4 linked regions of the Mus musculus genome follow. The protein of the gene in region 1 interacts with the protein of each later gene in a pairwise test. Links are inferred from orthologs where the notes say so. Each region holds a gene or a part of one and is shown on either strand. Other genes may lie near its edges.

What was found.
Region 2: the proteins of Gcc1 (region 1) and Atf4 interact in binary tests that used the Homo sapiens proteins (3 or more experiments, as listed by UniProt). The two-hybrid records come from large-scale screens. The link is inferred for Mus musculus from reciprocal best matches to the Homo sapiens genes GCC1 and ATF4.
Region 3: the proteins of Gcc1 (region 1) and Cep57 interact in binary tests that used the Homo sapiens proteins (3 or more experiments, as listed by UniProt). The two-hybrid records come from large-scale screens. The link is inferred for Mus musculus from reciprocal best matches to the Homo sapiens genes GCC1 and CEP57.
Region 4: the proteins of Gcc1 (region 1) and Zfp276 interact in binary tests that used the Homo sapiens proteins (3 or more experiments, as listed by UniProt). The two-hybrid records come from large-scale screens. The link is inferred for Mus musculus from reciprocal best matches to the Homo sapiens genes GCC1 and ZNF276.

The regions. Positions count from the first base shown.
Region 1 is NC_000072.6:28,417,728-28,423,950, forward strand, and holds the start of Gcc1 (GRIP and coiled-coil domain-containing protein 1), read right to left. Parts: upstream 3,998-6,223; 5' UTR 3,590-3,997; coding exon 2,558-3,589; intron 1,574-2,557; coding exon 269-1,573; 3' UTR 1-268. Other genes in the region: Arf5 (ADP-ribosylation factor 5), read left to right, coding at 5,962-6,028. UniProt on the Homo sapiens protein: Probably involved in maintaining Golgi structure.
Region 2 is NC_000081.6:80,252,730-80,259,039, forward strand, and holds Atf4 (cyclic AMP-dependent transcription factor ATF-4), read left to right. Parts: upstream 1-2,454; 5' UTR 2,455-2,956; intron 2,957-3,477; 5' UTR 3,478-3,569; coding exon 3,570-3,792; intron 3,793-3,904; coding exon 3,905-4,731; 3' UTR 4,732-4,816; downstream 4,817-6,310. UniProt on the Homo sapiens protein: Transcription factor that binds the cAMP response element (CRE) (consensus: 5'-GTGACGT[AC][AG]-3') and displays two biological functions, as regulator of metabolic and redox processes under normal cellular conditions, and as master transcription factor during integrated stress response (ISR).
Region 3 is NC_000075.6:13,805,910-13,810,941, reverse strand, and holds the end of Cep57 (centrosomal protein of 57 kDa), read left to right. Parts: intron 1-79; coding exon 80-315; intron 316-937; coding exon 938-1,082; intron 1,083-2,045; exon of another isoform or gene 2,046-2,101; coding exon 2,102-2,335; 3' UTR 2,336-3,154; downstream 3,155-5,032. UniProt on the Homo sapiens protein: Centrosomal protein which may be required for microtubule attachment to centrosomes. May act by forming ring-like structures around microtubules. Mediates nuclear translocation and mitogenic activity of the internalized growth factor FGF2, but that of FGF1.
Region 4 is NC_000074.6:123,251,932-123,258,292, reverse strand, and holds the start of Zfp276 (zinc finger protein 276), read right to left. Parts: upstream 4,099-6,361; 5' UTR 3,578-4,098; coding exon 3,370-3,577; exon of another isoform or gene 3,151-3,369; intron 2,587-3,150; coding exon 2,283-2,586; intron 2,010-2,282; coding exon 1,963-2,009; intron 1,875-1,962; coding exon 1,428-1,874; intron 1-1,427. Other genes in the region: Vps9d1 (VPS9 domain-containing protein 1), read left to right, coding at 4,207-4,305, 5,613-5,688. UniProt on the Homo sapiens protein: May be involved in transcriptional regulation.

The sequences.
Region 1 (6,223 bases):
CCCCAGCCTTTCTCCCTAACCTGCTCCACATACAGACCACTACGAGATGCTGTCTCAATACTGGCAGTACCCTGAGAGCCCAAGGATAAAACTGCATTAATGGCACTTGGCAGATAATCCCATTCTACTTTGAACTGCTCTGAGTTCAACACAGTGAAGAAATAAATAAGAATGCAAGAGAAGAGGCCGTAGAAATCCGAGCCTGCCCTTCCCACAATAAAAGAGGCACGGAGATTTCAGGAGTTGGTAAGAAAACAAAAAGTATCTATCATCTCTTGCCGGAAGGCCACCAGCTCCCACCGCTTGGGAGCCGCATTAGCACTTGTTTCTCTTCAGGACTGAAGTGCAAGATCGTGAGGATGGCGGTGAGCGTCTGCTGGCGGCCCAGGCTGTCGGGCAGGGTCAGGAAGCGGTAGATGATGTTTTTGAGATATTCCAGGTTGGCTCCCTCCCTGCTCTGGTCCCTCATATTCTTTTCGATGTGGCTCTGGAGGGCTCCAACCTCCTCTCGATGCCGCTCGCCCTCCTCCAGCAGCCTTTCCTGCAGCTGATGGGCTTCTACCTCCAGCCTGTGTTTCTGCTTCCTCAGAGATGTGATCTCCACCTCCTTGCGGGCCAACTGCTCAGCATAAAGAAAGAAGGTGGGCTCGTTGGCTGCAGCAAGCTGCAGGGCCTGGGTCAAGCTATCTGAGGAGGCTGTGTCGGCTGGGTCCCCAAGACCTCCACCACCCACTCCTCCCACGGGGCTTCTGCGTCCTGGCAACCCAGAGGACAAGGCCACAGAACGTAGTTGCTCCAGCTCCAAGTCCTTCTCCGCGAGCACAGCCAGGGCCCGGTCCCGCTGCTTGTGTAGCTCCTCCTCCAGTTTCAGTGTGCGGTCCCTGAAGTCCAGCTGGCTGCGCTCCAGTTCCTGCCGATGGAGCTGCTGCAGCCGGGCCAGTTCCTGCTTCCAGTCCTCAGCCTCCTGCTGGTGCTGGCTTTCCAGCTCCTCACAGGACAGCCGCAGGGAGATATACTTGTCCTTCAGCTCTGCGAGCTGCTCCTGTGCTGCCTCCAGCTCCTTCCCCAGGCTCCCATCTTTGGTGTTCTTGCTTTTGAGCACAACTTGGGCTCGCATCTTATACCGCTCAAACTCTTCCTTCAGCTGCTTCAGCTCCTGTTGGTAGTAGAGCGCGGTAGCCTTTTCCCCGTCAGCAGCCTCGGAGTTGGCCATTATCTCAGGGTCGCAGAGCTTCTCCACATCCAGGGTCACCTGGCTTTTCCTAGCTGCAACCTGTAGTAGCTTCTTGAGCTTCTCCATCTTGTCCTTCAAGACATTGATATCCAGACTGGATTCGTCGCCATGGATGTCAAGGGAGGACCGGCTAGAGGCTGCGAGGGCCAGTGTCTTGTTCTCCAGGTCCAGCTGCAGAAGTCGCTCCTTCAGCTTCTGGATGGCCAGCTGGTCTTTCTGCTTGGCTTTCTCGTAGGTGCCCAGCAGTTCAGATACCTCAGAGATCTGGCTCTCCAGGGCTGCTACTCTCTGCTCTTCTACCTGAGACTGCTGGCGGAGCTGGTCCTCTGCAAGGGCTGTCTGCAAAGCAAAGAACAGGTGACAAGGCATCCAGGAAAGTCACAAAACCCCTAGAGTCAACTGGGTGTGGGGGAGGAGACAGAGAAGTGAACAGGGCTTGGAATAACCCAGAACAAGTGGGAACTGGGGATTTTTAACTGAAGTGCCCTTTCTACCATAGTTTTCCATTCTTCATTAAGCTTGAATACAAAGTATGTTTCTGTTAGCCAAATCATTTAAAGAAACCGTGTAACATTCTTTCCCTTTCCCAACATGCCTGTAAATTCAAACCCAACCTAGATCCCTCTCTCTACTGAAAGGGAACACTATAAAACAGTTGAGGCAAACCTCACCTGAGCGTATACACAAGGCATTTCTTCTGGGGAAAATCCCCTTTGCTTCCTCCAGTCACCTTACCTAGAAGCACACACTTCTCAGGATACACACAAGCTTTCCCTACACAGCTGTCACTGTATCACCTCAAGCAGCACAGCTGGTAAGATGCCAACACCCAAGGCCTAGATAGAGCTATCTGGCTTGAACCCAGAAATACTCAGGAACTCTTCATCCTGTTAGAAGGACACCACACAAAGCCACACTTCACGGGACTCACTGATGCAATTTTTTCACTTGGCATCAAATATCACTATGCATGTTGGGAATGTGGAACCAGACCAAAGTCCCAGTACTCACACTAACAACTCACGCTATCTCACCAGGCATCCCTTGACTAAAACAAGACCCTGCCTTAAGTGGGGAGAGGGGTGCCCTTAATCCTAGCACTTGGTATGGAAAAGCAGGCAAATCCCTGTGAGTTCAAGGGCAGACTGGGTTACATGGTAAGACCCTGCCTCATGAAAACACACACAGAGAAACAAACACACACACACACACACACACACACACACATAGGGATGCATTACAGTTATCTAATGACCAGAAGAGAAAAATAATAATTTCCTATGTAAGCTAAAATGACTATTTGAAGGATATGAGAATAATTACCTTCCTCATTTCTTGCTGCAATTGGGCCTGGAAATGGCTTTTAAGACGGGCAGCCTCTTGCTGAAGCTCCTGCAGCCGGGGGTCTGGTCGGTTCTTCTCATCTCGAATGGTTTGCAGCTCACCTTTCAGCTCCTCTACCTCTCGGGTCAGCTGCTTGGTCTGCAGTTCAAACCCTTCGACCTGATCAGCGGCATATGCCCGCCCTGCCAAGGCTTCTCTGGTCTCTTCTAAGCGAAGTTCCAGGTCCTGGCGCTGGGTCCTCTCCTCCTGCAAGAGCTTCTGAAGCTCGCGCAGCATCAAGGCATGGTCACTCTGCTCCTGGGCACGATCGTGCTGCTGTGTAATGAGGCGGGCTTTGGTTTCTGCTATCTGCTCTTGCAGCACCTTCAAGTCTCCCTCCAGGCGACCCCGCTCTTCCTCTGCCTTTTTATTGGCATCCTCTAAGTCCTGCTTCATCTTCTTCTTATCCGCCAGGTAAGACGCCTCCATACGGGACTTTTCCTGAGTGACTGTCGCCAAGGAGCTAGTCAAAGTGGCCAACTGAGTCTTCAGCTGATGCACTCTTTTGTCCATCTCACTACCGGCAGATGGCCCATCCCCACTGCTACTACTAACGCCACTCTCTGACCCACTGGCCTCTTCAGACTTTGGGGGAAGTGGTCCACGGGCCGCTCTGTCATCTTCAACCCCAAATTCACCCTTGACACTTGTAAGACTGGCTGCGGTATCCAAGCTAGTGGCAGTTCCGGTGCTGTCCTCACTGTGAGTGGAGCACCGGTCATCCACAGAATCAGGAAACGTGAGACCTGGAGGCTGCACACCTGAGAGGCCTACATCCGCCTCGTGGGATACCGACAGTACCTTGATGCTGGCCTCCAGGGCTTCTTTCTCCTTCAGCAGGCTTTTATAGGCACGCACCACATCCTTGAGTCTTGCCTGGTACTGGAGAAGCTGCTTTTTCTGTGTCTCGATGGTCTCCAAGAGATCCTTCTTACTTGGGCCGCCCCCGAAATTCATCCCAAACTTCTCCATGGGGGTTCTGGCGTGGACCGCTCCACGTCAACGTTCTTGCAGCCCTGGGCAGAGCCACAGGGACAGCTAAAAGTGAAGCAGAGAGAACCGTCTGGCTGCAGGCAATACACCCGGTCCGTCCAGCGGTCCGGGCGGGATGAGGGGCCGCGGTGGCCAGGCAAAAGCACTGCAGGAGCCAGGCCGAAGGTGGGAGCCAGTTCCAACCTGGAGGCGGAGTGACGCTGACCTAGCAGGAGCAGTCAGCCTAGGCTCTCCAGTACAGGCCCTGAGCCTGTCCCGCCCTAGCCGCTCCTGTGGCCACCGCAACCTAGACCCGCCTCCCTCCGCCCACGATAAGCCCAGGGTTTACACTAAGCCGGGTTCCATCACGATTTCCCAACAACTGGAACAGCACCGCTTCCGGGTCTCCTGGAAGTGACGGCAGCAAAACGCCACAGACCCCGCCCCGCCGTGGGCGTGAGATGGGTGGGGCTTCCGCACCGTGTCTGCTGGTGGCCTGGAGAGGGAGTAACCCGTAGGTAAGTCTAGAGCAAGCACCTGAGCAGTGGTTTGGAGATGCCTAACTTTGCCCTCAAGCTACCACCAGTGAGCGACAGGGGGCGACGTCGCACTGCATTTGCCCCAAAAACATAGATGAAAGACGCATCAAACTATTTGGGGCAATGTCCAACATTTGGGGCAACAGTTAGGACTCATACTAGGAAAACGAGGCCGGTACCTGGTTAACGTAAAGCATAATAGCTCCCTCCCTTAGTTCTGATTAGTAAAAGGGGCATTATATAGCCATAAGGCCCATCTTGCATACCAGCATATGCTGGGGTCAGGGCTGTGTCACAAGAGTTACACTTACGGGAACATAGAGTAAAATGTACAGAGGGGTAACATGTCCAATGTCACTCAGCTAGGAAGTTTAGGAGTCCTATCTCAGTCTGCCTCTCAACATACTACATGCTATGCCAGATAGCACTACTGAAGAAGCATGGCCTTGTCCCAAGAAACTCCTAACAGCAAGGACACAGAGATTCAAACAGGTAGCTCCTGCCTTCACACTAGTGTGTCGGGGCATTGCAGAAGTGGTATAAAGGAGATGAGGCACCTGCCAGGACAGAGACTCTTAGGGGAAATGATTTGAAGTTTGAGAGATGAGTAGACTGCCAAGCTCAATGCAGATGTGGGAAACCAGCATGGAGGAAAGTGGAAAGGTGTATAGGGACGTCAGGCATCAGTGAGCCTAACTTGCCCAGGAAGCTTATGGTGTGGGAGAAGGGTGGCTACTGATGAGGCTGGAACAAAGGACCCAACTTAAAGGCATTTAGATTTTACCTTAGGTGACAAGACATGAAAAGATTTTCATCTCAAGAGCACACCATCAAGTCTCCTTTTTCTTTTCCATCAAGACTCTTGTGGGGACTGTAAGACGACTCAGCAGTAAAGGCACTTTCCACCCAGGCCCAATGATCTGACCTGAGTTCTATCACCAGGGCCCACACGGTGGAAAGAGAGAACATATTCCCACAGGTTGTCCTCTGAGAGCTACACCTCCACACATGAACACGAAATAAAAGTGGGGAGGGAGCCAGGCGTGGTGGCGCACGCCTTTAATCCCAGCACTTGGGAGGCAGAGGCAGGTGGATTTCTGAGTTCGAGGCGAGCCGGGTCTACAAAGTGAATTCCAGGACAACCAGGGCTATACAGAGAAACCCTGTCTCGAAAAAAAAAAAAAAAAAAGGGTGGGGAGGAGCTAGAAACAAAATAAGATTCCTGTGACATTATGAAGATACCAAGCCTGTGAGAGGGGTGCGGGGAGGGAAAGAGATGAAATAAGAGTGACAACGGGTTTTAAGAAAATATTTCTGTAATAAAAATCTACTCAAGATGCCAAGGCAGCCGTCACATCTCCGTGAGTTCGAGACTAGGCTGGTCTACATAGCAAGTTCCAGACCACCCAAGGCTACATAGTGGACATAGTGTTTCAAAACAAAAGACAATGAGCTACTTTGAGAATCTTTTAAATGTACTTTTCGACTCTATCAAAGTCTTCTCAGGAATGCAAGTTTACCACTTAAGAGTAAAGCAAAGTCCTGCGGTCACCGGAGACCCAGAACAAGTCCCCTTCCAAGCCCTGGTCCCCAGGCAGGCTGCCAGGCCTCCCTAGACTTCAGTTCTTCCGCAAACGCGCCTGGGGGGCGGGGCCGGGGCGGACCCGGAGGGGCGGGGCCACGTGACGTCGGGCGGACCCGGACGCGCGGAGGTGGCGGCGGCGGCGGCGGCGGCGCCTCCTCCTTCTGCTGTTGCGCCCCATCCCCCCGCGGCCGGCCGGTTCCAGCCCTCGCCCCGCGTCCCCTGCCCGCGCCCCCGCCCCGGGCCCCGCCATGGGCCTCACGGTGTCCGCGCTCTTTTCGCGGATCTTCGGGAAGAAGCAGATGCGGATCCTTATGGGTGAGGCAGATCGAGCGCGCGGCCCGCTTGGGGCGCCGGCCCCGCCGCAGCCCTCCCGCCCCCGCGTCCCTCTAGCCCCGCTCACCTGGTACCCTGACCCCGAGACACCCCACCGCCAAAGCCTCTGGGGGCCGCGCTCCCGTGCAAACCAGGATCTGCAGTGTCGGCCCTGGGCCTGAAACCCGGAGCTGGGGC
Region 2 (6,310 bases), on another chromosome or scaffold:
AAAAAAATAAAGAGAAAAACTGTTGGAGTGGCCCATCATCTCCTACTCCACTGTAATCCACTGCAGGGCTGGCTCTGATGGTTAAGATGAATCCGCTTCAGGCTGGGAGATCTGAGAGCAGGATGCACTGTGTGTTCAGAGCCTTCTACCAAGGTACATTTCCTTGGCATTATGACTTGATAAAACTGAGAGCATTTGCTACAACTTTAGCTTTTTTAGTATAAAAGCTCAAGCCAAGGTAAATGAGGAGGCCCTTGGGAACACAGTGACCCTTGTACCAGGCTAGGAGGTTACAAGCCCCTGAGACTGAGTGTCCAGAATATCAGCATGCAGGTTCTATGTTTAACTGCAGGTGGAGTGATGTGGGTGTTAACTTTTATTTTGATCACCTTGTAGTCTTTTAAACCCTTGGTCTCTGAGGCCAAGTCCACAACTTGCCTTCCAGTCACTTGCCTGCTGGTAGAATGGAATCAGTCACTAATCTTTGTGTCCTGTCTTGGCTGGGGCCATATAGGAGCAGCTTAGCTACTAAGGCCCAGAGAACCTTTATCCTCCTTCTCCTTGAAGGAGAGAAATTGAACTGGTGAAATCAGCGTCTTCTGCAGCATGGGAAGAAGAAAATAAAAATCTCCTTTCCAACAACTCTGACGTGTCTATGTGGTATCAGGTATATTCTTACATCGGTGCTAGGAATACGACGGGGGAAAAGAAGCCACCAGACATTCTCCTGGGATCTCTAGTGTCAATAATTTTAAACTTCTGTATGGCCAACCTGTATGGTCAGGAGCCTTGTTAGAGCTGAGAAAAAATTTCCATGACTGGTTAAGCAAGCTTTGGCCAGCCAAACAGCCCCTCACTGGCTGTTTGGAGACTCTTATGGGAAAGCATTAGGGTTGATAGAAAACAGCTGTTGGGATAATTGGTTGTTAGCACCCTAACAGAAGAGTGGGGGGACTCCAGGCTGCCTGCAGGGTAGATACATGTGATAGAAAACAGCTGCTAGGATAATTGGCTGTTAGAAAGGAGGCCAGAAAAAGAAGTGCAAGCTTACACCACGTGGAAGGTTTCTGGGGAGGCACGTTTTTGTATAGCAAAAGGCAGTCATGTATCACAGGTTCAGGAGTTTAGCAAAGCAAGGGGTGGGCATACATCATAGAGTTAGGAACTCAGCATAGGTTAAAAACCATGGTTTGCAGGGTACATTATGCTTAGGGGACAGAAACTTGTAAGGGATGTCCACTTAATGTAGCAGTGTGGCTGCTGTTTTGGTTTCCAGAGCAAAGAGAGGACATAGTTACCCTTTTGTTGCTTTTGCATGGAAAGACTAGGTAACTTCTGTATGTGTGCACATGCACTTGTGACTTCTTTGGGTATAAAAACATCTCATTATGTAGGCCTCGTGTTTTATGGTTGGTTCCGTCTCAGTAAACAATAATAAAGGCTCCTCTGAGGAAGGAGGATGGAGTTAGGGATATAGGGACTGGAGAGTTAGGTTCGAATTAATAAATAGCAATCAATCATATAATCAAGGACGACCTTGAACTATGGTACCCGAGCGCTAGGGTTGGGTTGTACAAGGCTTGCAAATAATCACTGAGCAGTAAGTGGCAGGCACTGTGCCAGTTGAGTGGTATTTGTGTGAGTCACTTAAACAGAAGTGGAAACTCTTTTTAAGATTTCCAGGCTGGAGTTGGAAAGAGCCTCTCAGCACTCTCAAAACAGCATCCTTTATGGTGAGGCCTTGACCAGTACCTGGGGCTCCCGATCACTTAGGCGGCAGGCTCACTCATCAGGATGACTTCTTGGGAAGGTGATACCTGGAAGTTAAGGCTTGAGAGCCAACTGAATAAACCTGATCTTAAGGGAACTGACCCTATACAAACCGGCAGTGAGGGCCTCTATGATGGGAGGATGGGCATAGGAGGTTAGACCTGAGGTTAGGCATGTTTCCCCGGTTCAGGGGAAATCGCTGAACTGGAGGAACCGGAATATCTCCCAAGAAGACCCCAACACGAACGCCCTGCCTCCAAGTGCCGTCCCTGTCCCAGGACTGACAGGAAGCTGAAGGTTTGGACCAGCTAACTCAGAAGGGTCTCTCCACATGCCTGAAGCCTGCCCACTCGGTTCTGGAAACAACAAATACATGAAAAGATGGCTTCCAGCCCAAAGGTCACGCCTGGAAGCTGTTTGCTCGGTGCGGAGCGATGCCGGAGAGAGCAAATACACATGGATCACATCTGACAAGAGATGGCAGGTGTGACAGTCTGGCGCCCGGAACCTCTGGTGGCTCCTCCCTTTCCACGCAGACCCCTGATCCTAGAGCGCCCAGGTGCAGAGCCAATAGGAACTTGAGGTTTAGGTGACTCGCCACGCCTGGGCCAATCAGCTCGACGCGCGCTCCGACGGCGTCTCGCGTGATAACCTGGCAGCTTCGGCTTTGACCGTCAGAGCTTTGGCTAGGTGTCCCACCCCGCCTTGTAAGACACCGGAAATTCGTCAACGAGCGATCCCTCCGCGCTCCGGAACCAGACCGCGGCTGGTCGTCAACCTATAAAGTAGTGCACTTTTCTCTCATGGGGCCTTTAGGACGATCTCTAACGCCACAGTTACCCCCCGAGCACAGCGGAGAAGGGTTGGGGCGGGCGAGGGCGTCAGTGAGAGGCGGTTTGGTGGCGCTGCGGTAGGATCACGTGACCACAGTGGGAGGATACGCGGTGTGCTGCGTCCCTGGCCGAGGCTATAAAGGGCGGGTTTAGGGCGTGCCGCCGCCATTTCTGCTTGCTGTCTGCCGGTTTAAGTTGTGTGCTCGGGTGTCCCTTTCCTCTTCCCCTCCCGCAGGGCTTGCGGCCACCATGGCGTATTAGAGGCAGCAGTGCCTGCGGCAGCGTTGGCCTTTGCAGCGGCGGCAGCAGCACCAGGCTCTGCAGCGGCAACCCCCACCGGCCTAAGCCATGGCGTGAGTATGGGGCCGGCCGCGGAGGGCGGGGGCCTCGCTGTGGTTGGGTGCGGCCCGGGCGCGGTGGCCGGCACACGCGGTTTTACAAGCGGCCGGACGCGTCGGCCTTGTTTGCGTTGCCTGCGACGCCGGCGCTCCCGGGCAGAGCTGGGCGGAGGAGTGTCTAAAGCGCTACTGCTGCCCCTTCGTCCTGTCTTAGCTTAATCATCTCGGGCTCACCGGGGTCCCCGTGTCATCCTGCGAACGTGGCGATGCCCAAGATGGCGGTGGGGCGGGGGTGTGAGTCACGGGGGCGGGGCGCGGCGGCCTTGGCCGTATTAGGACGCGAGGACAAGCTGCTTCCTCTGGGTGGCCGGTGAAGCAAAGCTAAGCCTCCATCTTGTGCAACCCGAGCTGGCGGCCGGGGAGGCTTACACAATGGCCTTGGGCCCGCGTGCTCTCCCTGTAGACGCTTCTGGGATTTGGCCATCCGGCATCTTAGATAGAAAGATGACTGGACTTGCTTTTGGGTCCCCATCCAGGCTCTTCACGAAATCCAGCAGCAGTGTTGCTGTAACGGACAAAGATACCTTCGAGTTAAGCACATTCCTCGAATCCAGCAAAGCCCCACAACATGACCGAGATGAGCTTCCTGAACAGCGAAGTGTTGGCGGGGGACTTGATGTCCCCCTTCGACCAGTCGGGTTTGGGGGCTGAAGAAAGCCTAGGTCTCTTAGATGACTATCTGGAGGTGGCCAAGCACTTGAAACCTCATGGGTTCTCCAGCGACAAGGCGGGCTCCTCGGAATGGCCGGCTATGGATGATGGCTTGGCCAGTGCCTCAGACACCGGCAAGGGTGAGTAGGACGGCTGTCCTGGTGTGCCCTTTTCATATGGATCTGGTGTTCTAATGGCTTTCTGCCTCCCGAATATGACATGAACCGTTCACACCTGAATTTCTTTTCCCAGAGGATGCCTTTTCCGGGACAGATTGGATGTTGGAGAAAATGGATCTGAAAGAGTTTGACTTCGATGCTCTGTTTCGAATGGATGACCTGGAAACCATGCCAGATGAGCTCTTGACCACGTTGGATGACACATGTGATCTTTTTGCCCCTCTAGTCCAAGAGACTAATAAGGAGCCCCCTCAGACAGTGAACCCAATTGGCCATCTCCCAGAAAGTTTAATAAAAGTCGACCAGGTTGCCCCCTTTACATTCTTGCAGCCTTTCCCCTGTTCCCCAGGGGTTCTGTCTTCCACTCCAGAGCATTCCTTTAGTTTAGAGCTAGGCAGTGAAGTTGATATCTCTGAAGGAGACAGGAAGCCTGACTCTGCTGCTTACATTACTCTAATCCCTCCATGTGTAAAGGAGGAAGACACTCCCTCTGACAATGACAGTGGCATCTGTATGAGCCCAGAGTCCTACCTGGGCTCTCCCCAGCATAGCCCCTCCACCTCCAGGGCCCCACCAGACAATCTGCCTTCTCCAGGTGGTTCCCGTGGGTCTCCTCGGCCCAAACCTTATGACCCACCTGGAGTTAGTTTGACAGCTAAAGTGAAGACTGAGAAATTGGATAAGAAGCTGAAAAAGATGGAGCAAAACAAGACAGCAGCCACTAGGTACCGCCAGAAGAAGCGGGCTGAGCAGGAGGCCCTCACTGGCGAGTGTAAGGAGCTAGAAAAAAAGAATGAGGCTCTGAAAGAGAAGGCAGATTCTCTGGCCAAGGAGATCCAGTATCTGAAAGACCTGATAGAAGAGGTCCGTAAGGCAAGGGGGAAGAAGAGAGTTCCGTAATAGGGTAGTCAGGTGCTTTGTGCTTGTACATAGTCTTGTGTTGCTGTGTTTGCTGTAATAAATTATTTTGTAGTGAAAGTACCTATGTGGGTTTTCAGTGTCATTCTTTGTAATAGACTTAACTGCAGACGTTCCTGGGTTAGATACAATAACTACCTGGGTATATCCCAGGGCTGAGCTGAGCTGTTTGAGACGGTGAAGATGAGGGAGCTCTGGGTTAATGAAAGGAACAGCCTGAATTCCACCTGTTCATACTGGCTTTGTGCCAGATAGCTGCCATGTAAGTACCTAGATGAGGTACCCGCCTTGAGCACACAGAGGATTAGGTTTTTCTCAGGCTTAAGGGATAGAGCTCATATTCCCTCTGACACAGATGGCTGGACTGTTTCCACCTGGTGGAAGGGCTGGGGTGATAGTAAACAGTGGCAGGTACTGTCTACAGAGGTGAAAATGAGCAATGTAGGCAGGAAGCTGGGAAGGGAACCTAGGCTTCCAGCTCCAGGGTCCTGGGCTACCTGCATCTTTACCTCTTAAATCTGGAAACTGTTAAAGCCTGCAGGGTTAAGAGGGATCTTTCAGCCTTCCCAATGCCAGTAGACTCACCTGAATGTTAGCTGTTGGGATGAATGTAGTCCATTGGGTTTGCTAATCTAGGATTCCTAAAACTATGGAATCCACCCGTAGTCTGGCCAAGAGTGGAGGAAGCTGTAGAAACCTTGACAATGTCAGGTATGACAAAAGGCTGGAAGTACTGCTTGCTCCCGTTTAGCCAGCCCAGACTGAAGCTGTTAGTTCTGGGCGCCTATTAGCTGGCAGAGAACGGCCTTCAGTTTCCCTACCACTGGTGATTGCTCACCTTGTACTGGGAACTATCGGATGCAAACTGAACACAAGATGAGCAGCTTAGTTTTTGTGAAACTTCCCTGCTAAGGGAGACAGGTACAACAAAGATGGGATGTAAAATGGCTGGCAGGCTGGGTGGAGGACCTGCTCTAGGAGGAGTGTGTTGGGGGCAGGGAACAAGGTGGGGCCTGGGTGTGGGTAGGATGATACAGCAGCCTCCCACTTCTGCAGCAGGCCTTTGGGCTCACCCTTGTTACGCACAGAAGCTAGGCTGTAAGTAGTTAAGTCTCTGCAATGAGACCCAAGTGCACCTACCCAGGCAGTCTATGGGATGGGCTGGAGATCTTGGCCACGGTGGGTGGCAGGTACATGTTCAAACCAGTACCCAGTGACATGTTCAGAAATAGACCAGCTCAGGTTTGGGGAATTGCAGAGCAGACCGCTGGACCTCTCGCCTAGTCCTTTAAGAACAGGGAACCTAACCAGCTCCAGATGCACCTTGAACTAAGCCCTCCCTACCCCTCAAGCAAGAACACTCGAGGCCAGGCTGGAGTCCTGGTGGCTGGCCCTGAGTCCCCAAGACCTCTAGTAGCAGTCCTGCTCCACTCTCTGTAGCTCCCTGGACTCACAGGGGACCAGGCAGTTGTGGATGGTCCAGGCCACAGCAGAAGCCACAGGAAGCATGGGGGGTGGGGCAGCAGCTCGCCCAAGTCCAGATTACCAAATTTTTAAACTG
Region 3 (5,032 bases), on another chromosome or scaffold:
GAGATGAACTCTTACTCGGGTTACAAACTAGAACCTGGCAATCAAGGACATTATTTGCTTGATTTACTTTTCTCTTTAGTCCACCAGTCCCAGCCATGCCGTGGTAGCCAATGTTCAGCATGTCTTGCATCTGATGAAACACCACAGTAAAGCCCTGTGCAATGATCGAGTTGTTAACAGTGTTCCCTTGGCAAAGCAAGCTTGCTCACGAGTTAGTAAGAGTAAGAAGTCAGTGGTGCCTCCTTCCAGCAGTGTTAATGAAGAACTTTCGGATGTCTTGCAGACTTTACAGGATGAATTTGGGCAAATGAGCTTGTGAGTTTTGACTTTTTGAATTTAAAATTACATTTAGTTCTAAAATCTCATTTTTTTCTAGCAGCTTGGATTTTTAATCCTAATTTTATTCACTGATGTTGAACATAGCCATTACACCAGCCCACTGGCTGGGAGTTAAACAAGCCTCCCTTTCTATTTTGTTAGATGTCAAATGCCAAGGCTTAGGTAAAAGCTCAGTAGTATTGAGGGTTATCCAAATATAACTAATGAGTTAGGACAGCGTTTGAAAGCCAGTGTCCCAGAGGATTTACTTTATAAGTGATGCTGATGGGAGAAGCAGATAAAAGTTTATATTAGCCTGCAACCCTGGATGGACCCAAATTTGTCTGGGATTAAGAATACTTGCATGTATCTTCATTTTTGTAAACCTTTGTTTTTATTTATGTATATATCACATGTGTGCAGGTCCCCAAGGAGGCCAGGAGAGGGCATCAGAGCCCCTGGAGCTGAAGTCACAGGTGGTTATGAGCCACCCATGTATAGAGCAGCAGTTTGTTAAAAGGAGTTATTTTTTAAGAGTGGTGAATCCCATAGTGAAATATAAAGGACATAACTTAAAAATGAGGAACTGAAGGTAGTCTCCCTTGTGGTTTGTATGCAGTGATCATCAGCAGCTTACTAAACTCATACAGGAATCACCAACTGTGGAACTAAAAGACAACCTGGAGTGTGAATTGGAGGCATTAGTGGGAAGAATGGAAGCGAAGGCCAATCAGATAACTAAAGTTCGAAAATACCAAGCCCAGGTGACTCCTGCCCTTCTGTCGTTTTTTCCCCCTTCATGTATATTAATTGATGATGCTTAAGCTGTTTCTGGAGATTTTCCTAACAGTCTGTGTTAAGAAGTGTTAGTTCTTATATTTCATATAAGATGTGTCTTTACTGACTATATTTAATATCCTTGGCTTTATGAACAAAACTAAGTGGTTTAGTTTGACTAAATTGTCTAAAAATACAGCTAGAATTTTTAATTTTCAAAGTCAGATTAAATATGTAAAAAAAAGTAGTATGTTTGCTCATACTAAATAATGACTAAAAGGAAAAGGGTTACTCACATTTAATAAGCCTACTTGGTGTTCTCATCTAGAGAAACAGACTGTATTTGAGATTGCTGTGAAATAGGGGTAGAACAGGGGTAGAGTCCAGCTCCTGGGTTGACAGCAATTGGAGTCTGGGTAGAAGTGGACAACTCTGAAGTAGGTTTTAGAAGTAAAAAATCCCTCTCAAGCTTCCAAATGCTGTGTGATGTGGAAGAACTATTTCACTGGCACAGAATCAAGTATATTGAGAATGCCATCTCACTTCATTTCCTTAAAACCCATTTTATAGGTGAAGTAACTGTGACTATCTCAGTAAATGAAATAACCTGCCCAAGGAGATCCTGTGTGGTTGTTGGTGCTGGACTGACAACTAACTAGTAGCTGTTAGAGTTTACAGTCTGGTCAAGCAGGGAGAATTCGAAGCCTGTCCCTCTCTCCTTAAGGAGACTTTTACAGTATTTATATAGCACTTATTTACCTGGCTGTGTATTTTACATATGTGATTTATAACTTCTGCAGATCTATGTGCTTTTAAAAAAACCCACCTAGAATCTATCACTTGAGTGTTAGAGGAAGATTATTTAAGTCAATGGTGTACTTAAGAAGTTGAGGCAGAAGAATCAAGAGTTTAAGACTGAACATAGCAAGACCTCGTATCAAAAACAAAGCTAAAAGAAAATGTTTTTATTGAATTCATTTTTTCCCTGTTTTGATTATTTGGTCAGCTGGAGAAACAAAACATAGATAAGCAGAAGAAGGAATTAAAAGCTAACAAAAAGACTCTTGATGAAGAAGGGAACAGCAGCGGTCGTTCATCTGGAGTCCCAAGGACCGCAAGTAAGAAGGATCTGGCCAAACAGAGACCTGGAGAAAAAAGCAGGAAAAATCTTCAGTTACTGAAGGACATGCAGACCATACAGAATTCACTGCAGAGCAGTAATCTGTGTTGGGATTACTGACACCAGGTCATAAATGATGTACCTCACTGGTCATAAACGATGTACGTACTGGACATGAGCAGACTTTCCAGGTCTCATGCTTGCTAAGCTGCCATTACTGGCAGGTGTTAGGGGCCAAGCTTCATTACAGTCTATTGTGCTATGTAGCACAACTGATGGAGATGGAGTTCTGCGGCAGAGAAGCCTCACTGTCTTTGAATTTGCTGTACTCATTCACTGCACTTTGTAAACAAATGACCAGTTTTTTACTCATGGGTGTGTTTTTTAAACTAGGTATATATGTAAATTGGGTTTGAAAATTCAGAATATGAGATAGTCCCCATAGTCAGTGCTTGAAGTCTTGTTTTTTAAATCTTCCCACAGCATGAAGTGACCACTACTCTCCCTTCTCCAGATGACCATTAAATGTACTGTTTTCAAGAAGACTTTGTTTTGCTTTGGTATTTTAGACATTGATCAATCATAAATTCACTTAAGTCAGTTATCCATGAAATATGTCACAATGTCTTCAGAAAAACTATATAAACAGTTGTTACTGAAGTAAATGAAATTTTGGAATAAAGAATGAGAACGTGGGTATTGTAAAATGTACACGTTTACAGTTTTTAGACAGTATCTATTTGTAATCATGTTAAGCACTGTTTAATCTTGACTTAAGAGAAGCTCATGCTTTTAGCATACAGTATGTGAATTGAATACACACATCTATCATGCCAATGTAAATTATTTAACTTTGAGTAGATCGACATGTTATAATCTTTATAAATTTGGTACTTCAAATCAATAAAGCAGTTTTTAAACTTTGCTTAACAGCCAGCTAACAAAGGCTTTATTTGTCATACAAACTCAAAAAGTGCATGTTAGTATCGTGATTGAGGAACGAGAATATCTGAGGCATGCTTGTCATCCTTGTGCTTACAGAGACCAAGCTCAGTGTTCCTGAATGGTTCAGACAGGCTGGGGAACATACTAGCCATCTACTAAGTTGAATAGCATGAATTGTTTGTTACTTGGGCACCAGAAGGCCCTATCACTTGGTGAATTTTCTAGTTAGAAACATAGATTTTTAAGCTTCATGAGTCACCTGAAATTGTATATAAATTTGTGTGTGCAGTTTTCTGATGAGGTTTGCAGGAACAATGACCTGACAACCGTGAGTCCATAGTCCCCAGGAAGGTAAGAAACTGCTCTGGTGACATGGCTCAACCACCACTTCCAACTGTTCCACTTGTGTTAATTCCTTGGATTTCAGGACAGTAAACTGTATAACTGTCATCTGAATGATGATGGCTCCAACTCCTAGTTAGAATAGTAATTGGAGGATAGTAACTCCTACCTGTCTCCAGCTGGATTCCAACTGTAGGCTTTGGGTTTTGATTCTGCTTCAGTTTCTTGTTCACTTGCAGCAGAGCTCCCTTGTATCCTGTACAAGACGCCAGCGCGGATCCCACGCTTCGTAAGAAAGGAGTGCTTTCCTTGATGTCATACTGGGGTGTGTGTGAACACCAGGAATGCAGTTGAACTCCACATAAGCACTTTTAGTGTGCACATTCCACACTCAAGATTCCTTGGAGGTCACAGAAAACATTGCAAGGTTTTGGAGTGACATATTTCTCTGCCGTTTGGGTGACCGTATGATCAGCATCCCTCTGATGTCATACCAAGATGGTCAAAGGTTTCAGGGAAGAAAGCAGACTAGTGAGGAAAGTGAACTGTTACAGAAATCTTACTTGAATGCTGGGAACATAAATACCTCCTCAAAAAAATTTTTATAGCTAAGTTTACACCAACCAAATTATTTGGTACCAATTCTTGTAAATACTGGGTATGCTGGGGTATATTCAATAGTATAGCATTTGCCTGGCAAGTGTGAGGCTCTGGGCTCAATATCCAGGTAAAATATATAAGCAAAAAAAAAAAAAAAGTAGGAAAGAGGAGATCTGTGATGTACTAATTCCAAAATCAACACCAGGACTACAGTTCAAACAATGAGTTACGGAACAATGCTTTTTACAGTTTGATTTTAGGTGTCAAAGACAGGTGGGCTTAAATTGGATTGGATAATTCCAGGTTAACATTTTGGGGGTGGGGTGGGGAGGGTACTTTAGACAACTGTGGACAAGGACAAAGTTTGAAGTCATTTAATTAAAAGACCAAGTGGTAAGAAGCTCGTTTGTTACAGTACATTACATATGGCTCTTGTACAGAGTAAAACAGACCCCAGGAGTCAACTGTCCCCACCAGCACCGGACTCGGGTGAGCAGAGAAGCAAGGCTTTACTTGCTGGCACTGAGACTAACTCATGCAGAGTGCTCTTTGGTAAAGTGTCCATGTGAGATTTACACAGCACATAAAGTCAGACTTCTAAGTTTTTAAAATACTGTCTTAAAACTTGCCAAATAGCATTTAGATAAAGTAGAGTAACAGTAAGGTTTTAAGATGTCTTCTGTGATGTTTGTGATCAATACACAAATGGAGTAGATGACAGCTACTACTTTGTCCCTTCAACCCCCCAAAGCACATATATAAGGCATTGTTTCCTAATTGCTGTTGAGAATATGCTAATTACAATGTCAGCAGCAAAAAAAAAAAAAAAAAAAAAACCTACTATGCCATAATAATCTCAAGACAATGCTTTTTACTATATTAAATATCACAAAACTTGGGGAAACTGAGAAAGGAATATTTGGATCTGAC
Region 4 (6,361 bases), on another chromosome or scaffold:
GCTCTGGTTACCAACAGTGAGCACTTTCCTGTAAGGAGGCAATGCTGTCCCTCCCTGTCTAAGGACACACCTTCCTTACTGGGGCTGGGAGGCCTGTGGCCTCAACCTCCTCTGTTCTCACTCCTGCTCAGATTCAGGCCATTGTGAGAACGGCCCACTCTGCATAGTTTACAACATGTTAAAAGATACTGTATACAAACACTTTATACAGCCAGGCATTCTAAAGTCTGTGGCGTCACCCTAGGGCCTCGCCTAGAGCCCACCTATAGCTGAACCACAGGGGTACTTACACTTTTAATGTTTAAAAAAAATTTTTAAGCCAGGCGTGGTGGCGCATGCCTTTAATCTCAGCACTCGGGAGGCAGAGGCAGGCGAATTTCTGAGTTCGAGGCCAGCCTGGTCTACAAAGTGAGTTCCAAGACACCCACGACTATACAGAGAAATCCTGTCTCGGGAAAGAAAAAGAATTTATGTGTGTGACTATTTCTCCTATGCACATGCCTGGTGCTGGCAGAGGCCAGATGAGGCCTTGGATCATGAACTGGAGTTATGTGGTGATTACTCACCATGTGTGTCTTTTGCAAGGGCAGCAAGTGTTCTTAACTGCTGAGCCTTATCTTCAATCCCGCTTTTTTTTTTTTTTTTTTTTTTTTTGAGACAGGGTCTCTCTATGTACCCTTGGTTCTGTCCTGGAACTCTCTACGTAGACCTAGCTGACTGGTCTCAAACTCACAGAAGTTGGCCTGCCTGCCTTTGCCTCCCCAAGAGCTGGGGTTAAAGGTGTGCACCACTATGCTTGGTACCCGTCCAGAGTTTTTAAAGAGCCCCAGTGTGGACTGCAGGTGAAAACTGCAGTGCCCATAACTGGCCATGAAGCACACAGAGGCAAGAGGCAGGCAGGAGGCTGCTCCTAGCTCTCCCAACACGATGCTTAGGAACAGCTGCATCCAACCCACAGCATGTGTGGGTGGGGTCTGAGCTCCACAGAAGGGCCAGTCAGCAGAAGAGCTACCACACTGGCCTACACACTATGGTAAAGTAGCAGCCTCTTTGTCTGCCTCCATGTCCTGCGGACAATAACCCCATTCTTCTCTCTCCCTCAGTCCCCTCAGCCTACAGGAACAACCAGTCCCCTGTGGTCTAAGGACAGACTTAGAGGAAGACTGAATGCCAGATGAGCACCATTGCAGAAACTGGTGAATTAGAGGCCTACTGGTGAAGAGACAGAAAGTCAGACAGGCTGGTCGGGCCACCCTACACTTAGGTTCTAGGGGAAGGCACCGAGGGTGGATCCTCCTCTCCTGCCACCAGCTTCCTATGCTGTACCGTGCTCTACAGGCACACAGTACAGAATCCACTGTCTGCTGATGACAGCCTTGGTCAGAACACTGAGTCCTGTTCCAGCATAAGCCACAGGTGCTGCTTACCTGGGGCCTCACTGGGAGCCAAGTGTGGCTGCGTACAGGGGCCTAGCCCAGGTCCCACAGAGTCTCCATGTGAGTGCAGCAGGGCCACATCCACACTGGGGAGTGTCTTGGTCTCAGATCCAACTTGGGTTTCTCTGGCCTGGCAGAGCCGAGAGGCAGCTCCCGTGGGGTTGGACTCTGAGTTCTGGGCCAGCCGTGGTGACAGGTCCTTGCCCCACGCCCATTTCACTGCTAATGCACTGTCCAAAAAGAGAGCTCTGCAGCTGGAGGCTGTGTCCATGGTGAAGTCGTGGCCCTGGTCGCAGCCCCACACAGCCTGGATGATGCCGCAGTACTCAGAGGACAGTGTCCTCTGGAGGCTGGGCAGAGACCCACAGCTGACTGCATGCTCATGCACCCAGCCCACCAAGCCGTGCAGACACCGAGGGCTGGAGGCGATCAGGTCAGCTGAGGAGAATCAACAGAGATGTCAGGCTCACCGTGGCCAGCGCTAGGCCCTCCCTGGGACGCCCACCCTGGCACAGATAGCACTCACCCACACATGCTCCCTCCTCTGCCACTGTGGTAGGCTGAACACCAACCCTGCAAAGCATCAGTGGCCACAGTTTAGGAACCTCTCAAGGTCACAAACGTCTTCCACAGGGCCCCTCTGTCAGCTGCCCTGGTTCCCTCTCTCCTAAGTGATAGCTCTTCACCCTCAGATCTCTGCAAACATTGCCACCACAGCACCCCATTGTAACACCATGAGCTTTTGTATGCTAGCTTTTGTCCACCCCAAGTCACTGCCTTAAGTCAACACCTAGAACACAGGGTGACGAACCCCTAAAAGTCCCTAGAAATCCAACAAGGGCCTACTTTGTACAAGGCTTCCTCTGGCCAGCTGGGGAGACGTTGACTCTCTGTAAGAAGGTCCTGAGAAGGCTGTGGCACTGATAGAATTGGGTGTAGCAGTTCTTGCAGACAGACTGAGGCAGGGCTGGGTCCTGGTGCACAGCGACACCCAGCAGACGCTGGAAGTCCCTAATGAAGACACGCTCTCCTGGGGACAGTCTTTCTGAAGTCTCCCCAGGCACTCTGTCAGAGATGCTTCGGAGGCTCCGTGAGGAAAACTTCCCATGGCAGAGTCGACAATGCCCCATAGCGAGAGTCCGGCCTGCTCCTGCGCAGAGAAGCAAATGTGACATAAGCGAGGTACTCGCAGTGCAAGGGCCACTCTTCCCCCTGGCCTCCGAACACTGCAAGCAGAGAAGTGCCCGCACCAGGCTTCCTAAACACAAGAGTAGCGGGACTGGGACTCGGGAGCTGGCCTTCCTCACTGAACACTCAATATTCAAGGAACCCCAGATGCCTACAACGAAGATGAAACTTAACATCCCTATTCTGAAAATGTGTCCAAGCCGTGCCTCAAGAAACTAACTCACTGTTCATCCCTGTCCATCTATAGGTGCCCTGCCTGCAGCATGTGCATGATGCCACCCAACTGCCCCTAGTGGGAGTAAAGGACAGCTTACATAGGAAAGCCATTCTCAGATGACTGAAGAACACCACACTAATGTGATGCACATGGAGGCTGTTAACCTAACTAGCTGCTGCTTGTTCACAAACTCGCAGCCGCACAAGGAACAAGCAGTTAGTTCACTTAACTCAGTTCCCAACGCAGGTTAGGTTATAGGCCTGTTTTAACCATCAAGAAACTGGGGTTCAGAAAAAGTTAAGCAATTACCCTAAAAGTCCATAGCACGAAGAGCAAACTTGAAGCCACACCTGTGTGCCTTCAAATCTTACGCACTAAATAGCAGCGACACAGAGCTGTCTGGGCGGCAGAGGAAAGGGCCTCTATCGGCAGTTCTCCAGAGGGCCCGCGTTCTCCAGAACCAGGAGGCCTGGTTTGCTCTCATTATCACTAAGCTCGCACCGGGGCCCGAGGACGCCTGGAACCCACCAGCTTCGTCTGTACCGTCGTCGCCTGTGTCCCCGCAGGAGCGTGTCATCGAGCCCCAGCTGAGCTGAGCAGCCGCCCCGTCAGCGCTCGTTCCGCCGCTGCGAGAAGGGCGACCCCGAGTCCGACCGCTTCCACAGCCGCCGCCCGAACCCCCGCGCTGCCGAGCTATTCCGGGAGACAGGAAGCGGCCGAGGCGGTCCCGCTTCATGGTGGTAGGCGACACTCGCTCCCTGCTCCGCGCTGCTCGGTGTGGCTCGGCCCCCTGACTTCTTGCTAGAGCGGACTTAACTTGGCACACTCCGTGCCGTTCCGCTACTCTCCGCCGCGCTGCCCCGCTCCGCTCGGCTCCCCGAGATCGGAGCCGGAGGAAGCGAGGGCTGCAAGGAAGCGAGGAGCGGTCTGGGGAGCCACAGCGGCCGCGGCGGGGTCAGGAGCCCGGAGTTCTTCGGGTCTCTCGGAACTCGCGACAGGCCCTTAAAGGAGGGGCAGCCCGGAGGGTGAACGGCCGCGGACTGCCGCCCGGGCGGTGGCGCACAACAGAAACCCTTCAGAGCAGTAGCTCTCCCCGCCAGCCTTCCCGTCCGCGCTCGCAGCAAGTTGGCCGGAGGAGGTGACAAGAGCCACTGACCCCTCCGGTCCCCTAAACCCAAGTCTGCGCGGCGGGGCGGGGCGCGGCGGGGCGGGGCAAGGCCGGCGGAAGTGTGTCCGGGTCCCCTTCCGGCGGTGCGCAGCTCCTGCGCCTCCCTCAGCTCCGCGCTCCGCGTTCCGGTCTGGAGGCGTCCGCCCCGTCCCGCCCCTGCCGCCGCGGCCTCCCGCTCCCCGCCCCCGCCCAGCGCCATGGCCGCTGCGGCCGGGGACGGCGGGGCGAAGCCACTGCAGAGCGCCATGAAACTGGCCAACAAGGCCATCGAGCTAGACACCGGCAACCGGCCCCGGGTGAGGCTGGGAGGGTCGCGGAAGCAGCTCTGGGAGGCCCTTTGCCCCTGGTGGGTGGGCGAGGGCGGGCGTGTAGAGGGATTCGGCGCTCCCGATGCGCGCGGCGGCGGCGGCGGCTCTGGGACCGCGCCCGGAGACCCGGGGCCCGGAGGCTAAGGGCGCCGAGCTCTGCGGGGACCTGGAACAGCTCAGCTCGCACTGGGCCTAGATTTACCTGTGTGATGAGGCGGTGTGACATAAGGAGGAGGTTCTGTTTGCAAAGGACCTACATCCAAGATGTAGATGACAGATGTGTGTGTGTGTGTGTGTGTGTGTGTGTGTGTGTGTATTCTTGACAGAGTCTGTGTAGAGTTAATCTAGAAAAGACCCGACTGTTGGCTCATTCAGGATGCTGCTGCTGTCTGCAGTTGCCTTCAAAGGTCATTTGTAAAGAAACCCAGGCACAAAAGGGGTGTGGCCTGTCACTGAGAATAACTGCTAATTAAAAGGATGGCAACAAGGTAGAAAAGCCGGCTGGGCCACCCAGAGCTTCCATAGGACAGGACGAATCACTGGTTGTCCAGTGCCCCAACTTAGTTTTCTAGGGCACCCTCACAAGACCAGAATCCTACCTGAAACCCATTTTATCTGAAGTGCTGAGCTAATTAAAGTTGGGTAATTTTGACAACGAGTAAAACGAAACACATACAGACCAGAGTGCGTTCTGTCTTGAGCTGTCACAGAGCCCAGAGCAGAGGGGTCACACAGCTGAAACCTGCAGCTCGGTGCTCTGGGCTCCTTTGAGCAGAGGGAATTATTCTGGAGTCTGTAGAATGTTATTTCTTCACCTAAGCCAAAACTTGAGATTGACAGATGAGCCCTTATCCTCTCCTCAGATTTCAGGAAGTGCTTTTCATGAGACATGGAAAGACTGCTAGTCTTTGAGTTGCACAGGAAGAGAACTTTGTCACACAGAGTGGAAACCCTTATTGCTGCTCAGGCAGCTCTGTGGAGCCTCCTGACTGAAGCTCAGCTCCTTCATGTGGTGGATAGTAATGAGAGGAGAGGTGTGTCTGTCTGGGAACTCCTCAGCACAGTGTTGAAGGAAGGAATTCTTTGATTTTTTGTTCTGTTTGATATCTTTTTCCCTTCAAGTCTAGACAGTATAGATACCATCTGTGTCCTAGCTGGACCATCCATCACTGAAGCCTAGAAGGAAGTCTTGTCAAAAAACAAGCAGGCACTGTTGGTCCTGCAGTTGTATCTGGGCATTCACCAGGCAGGCAGGATGCAGGCCTGACCACTGCTATTCTCTCCCCTGCATCTAGGAAGCGTACGTGGAATACCTGCGCAGCATCCACTACATCTCCCAGGTATTGCTCGAAGACGTGGAAAACACTACAGGTATGCCTTCAGACTTGCTACTCCTCTCATGATAGCAAAATGGTGCCCCCACCCACCCACCCATGCCCTTGCCCACCAGCTGGCACCGCCAAATGTTTTCAGATGAGGGCGGGGAACTGTCTCCTTTTCTGCCTTCTGAGGTTTTCCAGAGGTCTCCTGTCTCTTTCCAACCTGGTCCTTATCGTTAGCATATGATGTCATAGTGTGACATGCTGGCATTGAGGAGAAGTGGTCAGGATTAGGGGACGGATTGTGAATTGGGTCAAGACACTGCCTCAAGGTAGTTAAGAGTGAGATGCACAAAGTGGGGGCCTTGCCAGCAAAAGTACGTTTAAAAGGTCCTGGAGGAGGAAGTAGTTAAATTAGTGTTTTGTACATCTTGGACGGATGTGGAAGAGAATTCTGGGAACCTCCCAGAGCTCTACCCAGCATGGGGAGGAGCATAGAGCTTGGGTGTATTCTGAAAGAGAAGCCAACCAGACTTGCTGGGGTGGGTGGTGAGCTGCTAGCCACAGGGGGTGTTCCAAGCAGATGAGGGGCGACATCACATAAGGGGAGAAATGGTGAATCCCGGTGTGCTGCTACAGATGCAGCTCAGTTGGTAGACAGCTCTTGTCTAGCATGCAGGAAGCCCTGGGTTTGTCCCTGGCACAGCATAGATGAATGTGATAGC